Oryctolagus cuniculus: one gene and its partner. The protein of the gene in region 1 purifies or fractionates together with the protein of each later gene. This does not show direct contact. Links are inferred from orthologs where the notes say so. Each region holds a gene or a part of one and is shown in the gene's direction. Other genes may lie near its edges.

Region 1 (3,647 bases):
CGTCTGTGGATGGGAGGATGTCCCCCTTGCCTCCGTGGCTTTGTCCTTGTCTCTGAGATGTGGGTGGTGATGGAGTGATGACCTGGGGATTACTGGAGAGAAGCCCTTAAGAAAATGATTGGGGCTGGTGTCCTATTCCCATGGGAATGTGAGGGGCTTTTTTGTACCTGGCCTGATCCTGGGCTGAGTCAGAGGGGGAGGCTGATGGGGCTTTGTCCAGCCTAATGTCTTATGTTCCCTAGTATATGGTTAACTCCAGAAGGGCGGAGCCAGAAGCATTTAGGGGGGAGAAGGGGGAGGGTCAGGAGCTAAGCTCCTTGTGGTATTGAAGGAAACATTGTTTCCTATCACTGTCTACCTTCTTAAAATTTGGGGGCTTTGGACATGGCTCCGGTGTTCCTGCTGGGACTTTGGATGGGGTCAAGGAGGAAGCCGAGCGCTTGCAGACTTCAGCTCTGTCCCTGGTGACGGAAAACCTGATGATGGTTGGAGGAGTGGTCCAGTCCCTCCCAGAGTTTGACCCTTCATGTGTGTGTTGGTGTCCTTGGGTTTCCTTGCCTAGGACATAGGTGTGACCTCTCAAGAACTGGGTCATCCCAGAGTAGGTGTTAAAGATGGGTTGCATTTGGACCTGGGGCCAGGTAGCTATTTGGGAAGTCTCCTGTGAGGGCAGTCTCTCCTGGCTACCTCTGTCAACCCCGCCCCCCTCCCCTGCCACTTCCTGTCTGTCCTATGTTGGCAGCTGGGTGCCCTGGGCCGGCTTCTGCGGTCAGGAGCCATTTTCCCTTTCCTCAGTGGGTGAGGCACTCCCTTCTTCTCTCCACTCCCTTCTCCACTCCCCGCCCCCCCCCCCCCCAGCGGGGGTGGCTTGGGAAGAGGGAGGGAGGGGGGAGGAGGGAGCTGGTGTGCTGGTGTGAATGTCTGCTACAAAGGGAGCTGCCTCCTGGCCTCTCCTCCCCCTCTGTGCCCCTTCCCACCTATCCCTGCCCAGGAGCTCTCAGTATTACCCCAGGCTTTGTGTGTGCTTCCAGCCAGGGGAGGAGGTGGAGCCAGATGGGAGGAGGATTGGCTGAGGGGGAGATGGTGACAGCTGGGCTGATTTGGGCCCCTAGAGAGAAGAGGCTACTGACCCAGGAGGAGCTGGGGAAGAAGAGTAGGGCTGAGATGGGGGAAGGAAATTGTGTGTGGTAGAGGACACGAGGTTGGGCTGGCAACTGAACCTGGGGCGTGGAGTCTGGTTGTTTTGAGCAGTGATGATCCCAGAGGGATTCCAGAAAGGTGTGGTGTCTGGGACCCCGAAGCTGATGGTGTTCTGGGCATGCGCTGAGCCTCCGCTCTGTAGTGTTTGCCTTTGGGTAGACCTTTCATTCTCACTCCCTGGTGTATAGAGTGCTTGGTGGCCAGCTGCAGGAGGCTTGGGCCTAGTTCTCTTGTTTGGTGAGCTGTAGGCATCTCGGTTCAGTTGCACTGGTGAGCACCTGAGGTCTGCTGGAGAAACGGGGAAGAGGGACTGGGCTCTGGCCAGCGGCCTGAGGTGGGCCTGCTCTGAGCTGCCAGGCCTGTTTTGGGTATCTCCAGCTCTCTCGGTGTTTTTGTCCTGAGGATCAGCGGCCTTCTGCGGAGAGCATAGCAGTTCTCTTCAGGAAAATCTGGGGCAGGAGGTGGGGAATGAAGTCGGAAGCCTCTGGATTAGGGCCTGACCTTTTGCTATTGATCTCTTCGCTGCGCATCGCTGTTGGCCAATGTATGCAGAGAACGAAGAGGACCCAGAAGAGGATTTATCAGAAGCAGAGACTCCAAAGCTCAAGAAGAAGAAAAAGCCTAAGAAACCTCGGGACCCTAAAATCCCCAAGAGCAAGCGCCAAAAAAAGGAGGTGAGTGGGTGATTGAATGTTACTGGGACGGCAGGAAGAGGGGGAGCTCTGGGAAGGTTCGGGGTCCTTGGCTCCTCTGGAGTGGCGGGCTGGGTCTTGGCGATGAGCCTCAGGGCTGTCCTGAGGTCAGCATGTGTGTAGCATGTGCGTGTCTGTCTCCCTCTCCCCCTTCCCTGCTCCAGCGTTTGCTCTTATGCCGGCAGCTGGGGGACAGCTCTGGGGAGGGGCCGGAGTTTGTGGAGGAGGAGGAAGAGGTGGCTCTGCGCTCAGACAGTGAGGGCAGCGACTATACCCCTGGCAAGAAGAAGAAGAAGAAGCTTGGGCCTAAGAAAGAGAAGAAGAACAAATCCAAACGGAAGGAGGAGGAGGAGGAAGATGACGATGACGATGATTCCAAGGTGCTGGACCTCTGTCACCTTTTCTTAGCTGTTAACTTCTGTCCTTGCAGCCCCCTGGAACGTTCTCTGTCCACCTCTTTCTATTTATTTCCTGTTAACTCTGTTACCCGGGTCTCACGAGCCATAGTTTGAACTCAAATTCCCTTAGCAAGTGTGGGCACCGGGTGGCAGGACCTTGACCTTGCTCTCTTCTGCAGGAGCCTAAATCATCCGCTCAGCTCCTAGAAGATTGGGGCATGGAAGACATTGACCATGTGTTCTCGGAGGAGGATTATCGCACCCTCACCAACTACAAGGCCTTCAGCCAGTTTGTCCGGTAAACCAGCAGGGGCTTGGTGGGAGGAGACTTCTTCTATGATCTCTCTTCTCTTTCTCTTTTTTTACTCTTAAACATTTTCTCTTTTCTGTGTTTTTTTTTTTTTTTCTTCCATTCCTCTACCAGACCCCTCATTGCAGCCAAAAACCCCAAGATTGCTGTCTCCAAGATGATGATGGTTTTGGGTGCTAAGTGGCGGGAGTTCAGTACCAACAACCCCTTCAAAGGGAGTTCTGGGGCTTCGGTGGCAGCGGCGGCAGCGGCTGCAGTGGCTGTGGTGGAGAGCATGGTGACAGCCACCGAAGTGGCACCACCACCTCCCCCTGTGGAGGTGCCTATCCGCAAAGCCAAGACCAAGGAGGGCAAAGGTGAGATGGGATGCAGTGGGAGAGGGGCCTGGTGTGGACTTAGGATGTCAGACAGAGCATGGACTGCCCTGTTGGCCCTGAGGTAGCAGATGGGAGGGCGCACTGGGTCTTGAGTTTAGGAAGGAGATTGGGGAAGCCCGACACGTGAAGCAAGCTAAGGGAGAGATTTGATTTTCCGTACTCTTTTACCCCTGTGAGATATCTACTTGGATGCATTCTGATTTTTAGGTCCCAATGCTCGGAGGAAGCCCAAGGGTAGCCCTCGTGTACCTGATGCCAAGAAGCCTAAACCCAAGAAAGTAGCACCCCTGAAAATTAAGCTGGGAGGCTTTGGTTCCAAGCGTAAGAGATCTTCGGTGAGTCCCCAGCCCATCCCTTTGCCCAAGGTGCCGTGTCTAATAGAAAGGTGCTGCCTCATGTCGGGACCCGCCCTTCACGTAGAATGTGGGGATTTGGCCACAGAACGGCATGTAGCTGGGCTCCCTGTCTAAGAGTCCTTAATGGCTGCTGATGGCCCTGGTGAAAGAGTGCACCCCTCTCCACCACTCTCCTTCCTCTTGGCTGGCATTTCTAACCTGACTCATTCTTTTCATTCTCTAGAGTGAGGATGATGACTTAGATGTGGAATCTGACTTCGATGATGCCAGTATCAATAGCTATTCTGTTTCTGATGGTTCCACCAGCCGCAGCA
Region 2 (2,390 bases), on another chromosome or scaffold:
CGGGCAGGCAGGCGGGGGCCAGGCCCTGTGGCGGGCACGTAGGTGGCTCACGGGGTGCCGCCTCGCCTCCCGCGATCCCCACAGGAACAGCTACTCGCTGTACTGCGCAGAGCTCATGGCCAGCATGAAGGACGTGCCCAGCACGGAGCGCATGGTGCTGTGCAGCCAGCAGTGGAAGCTGCTGTCGCAGAAGGAGAAGGACGCCTACCACAAGAAGTGCGACCAGGTGAGCCGCGCGCGTGCCGCAGCCCCTGGGGCCTGCGGGCTCTCCGGCGAGGCTGCCCAAGGCTGACCGCGGTTCCCCTTACCTTCCCAGAAAAAGAAAGACTACGAGGTGGAGCTGCTGCGTTTCCTCGAGGTGAGCGTCGGGCTGAGGTCGGGGCGCTGGGCAGAGGCTGCCCTGGGGAGCCCGAGCCCTCACCCCTGCCCTCCCCACTCCGTGCCAGAGCCTGCCCGAGGAGGAGCAGCAGCGGGTCCTGGGCGAGGAGAAGATGCTGAACATCAACAAGAAGCAAGCCACCAGCCCGGCCTCCAAGAAGCCCTCCCAGGAAGGAGGCAAGGTGGGCAGGCTCCCCCGGCTCCCCTCGGCGGGCAGGCAGGTGTCGGGGCTGGGGCAGGGCTCCCCCGTCGGCACCCCGTGGACCCCGACCCTCTCTGCACTTGCACAGGGGGGCTCGGAGAAGCCCAAGCGGCCCGTGTCGGCCATGTTCATCTTCTCCGAGGAGAAGCGGCGGCAGCTGCAAGAGGAGCGGCCCGAGCTCTCGGAGAGCGAGCTGACCCGCCTGCTGGCTCGCATGTGGAACGACCTGTCCGAGAAGAAGAAGGTCAGGCTCGCCCGGGAGCCCAGCGCTGCGCCTCCCCTCGCCCCGTGCGGCCCGCACGTGCGCCCGCGCTCAGCTGGCGGGGCTGGGAGCCCCGCGAGCCGAGCCGGAAGGCGGGAAGCTGTCAGCTGAGGGCTGAGGCTCCCCGGGGAGCAGGCCCGTGGGCGGAGGCTGAGCCCCAGGCGGGAGACAGCTGCTCCCGCCCACGCGGCCGCGGGCCCCGCCCTCCTGCTGCGGGACTGGGCGTCGCGCGCCCCCTGCGGGCGGCGGGGAAGCTGACGCCTGTGCGGTTCCCCTGCTGCAGGCCAAGTACAAGGCGCGCGAGGCGGCGCTGAAGGCGCAGTCGGAGAGGAAGCCCGGGGCCGAGCGCGAGGAGCGGGGCAAGCTGCCCGAGTCGCCCAAGAGAGCCGAGGAGATCTGGCAGCAGAGCGTCATCGGCGACTACCTGGCCCGCTTCAAGGTGGCAGGGCAGTGGGGCAGGGCTCGCAGGGCAGCCTCGGGCCCTTGGGGACCCCTTGCACAGCTCATCGCCCCGTCTGCCCCCAGAACGACCGGGTGAAGGCCTTGAAAGCCATGGAGATGACCTGGAACAACATGGAGAAGAAGGAAAAGCTGATGTGGATTAAGAAGGCGGCCGAAGACCAAAAGCGCTATGAGGTGGGAGTGGGAGGGCGGGATGGGACCACCTCCTGCCTTGGAGGCCAGGGGACCTCCCTCGGGGTAGTCCTTGCTCGTGGGCCTCTGGAGCCTGGAATCCTAGCATGGCTTGTTTGAGCCTGAGCAAACCTCTTCTGTCTCAGTTAAACTGGGGGGGGGCGCGACCCCCCCAGGTGGCTCGTGGGGATACCAAAGCAACTCTGAAAGCACTGACACCTGTCCCAACTGTGTGTTACTAGGAAGCTGCTCTCCAACTTTGCCTCAGTTTCCCCCCCTTGCCTAGCACATAGGAGAGCCTGATGAGGGGGCTGCGGGCATGGGGTGGGGCTGATGTGACCCTCATGGTTTTCTGCACAGAGGGAGCTGAGTGAGATGAGGGCGCCTCCGGCTGCCGCCAACTCTTCCAAGAAGATGAAGTTCCAGGGGGAACCCAAGAAGCCGCCCATGTGAGCGCCCCGCGGCCGCCACCCACCTGGGGCTGGGGAGGGGGCTGCCCTGCGGGGGTCCTGACCCTGCCTGCCCTGCCCGTCGCCCCCAGGAACGGTTACCAGAAGTTCTCCCAGGAGCTGCTGTCCAACGGCGAGCTGAACCACCTGCCACTGAAAGAGCGCATGGTGGAGATTGGCAGCCGCTGGCAGCGCATCTCGCAGAGCCAGAAGGAGCACTACAAGAAGCTGGCCGAGGAGCAGCAGAAGCAGTACAAGGTGCACCTGGACCTCTGGGTCAAGGTGAGGGCCCGGGGGCCTCCGGAGGGGGAGAGGCGGGCACCCGGCAGCCAGGGAGCCAAGGCTCTGATGGCTTAAGGAACTCGCCCTGGAGCACGTGGTCAGAACAACTCCAGCCAGCCCGCCTCTGCCTCTCTCGAGCTGGGGCCAGCCTGTGCTTGGCTCCCAGCCTCTGAGCTTCCCCTGT

What was found. The genes of interacting proteins can lie anywhere in the genome.
Region 2: the proteins of CHD4 (region 1) and UBTF purify together in Homo sapiens (affinity purification with mass spectrometry, with the first as the bait; 3 studies listed by BioGRID). This does not show direct contact. The link is inferred for Oryctolagus cuniculus from reciprocal best matches to the Homo sapiens genes CHD4 and UBTF.

The regions. Positions count from the first base shown.
Region 1 is NC_091440.1:102,904,586-102,908,232, forward strand, and holds part of CHD4 (chromodomain-helicase-DNA-binding protein 4), read left to right. Parts: intron 1-1,752; coding exon 1,753-1,874; intron 1,875-2,056; coding exon 2,057-2,272; intron 2,273-2,469; coding exon 2,470-2,588; intron 2,589-2,714; coding exon 2,715-2,956; intron 2,957-3,184; coding exon 3,185-3,312; intron 3,313-3,556; coding exon 3,557-3,647. UniProt on the Homo sapiens protein: ATP-dependent chromatin-remodeling factor that binds and distorts nucleosomal DNA. Acts as a component of the histone deacetylase NuRD complex which participates in the remodeling of chromatin.
Region 2 is NC_091448.1:19,049,841-19,052,230, forward strand, and holds part of UBTF (nucleolar transcription factor 1), read left to right. Parts: intron 1-84; coding exon 85-226; intron 227-316; coding exon 317-358; intron 359-446; coding exon 447-560; intron 561-668; coding exon 669-824; intron 825-1,125; coding exon 1,126-1,281; intron 1,282-1,367; coding exon 1,368-1,478; intron 1,479-1,835; coding exon 1,836-1,924; intron 1,925-2,016; coding exon 2,017-2,206; intron 2,207-2,390. UniProt on the Homo sapiens protein: Recognizes the ribosomal RNA gene promoter and activates transcription mediated by RNA polymerase I (Pol I) through cooperative interactions with the transcription factor SL1/TIF-IB complex.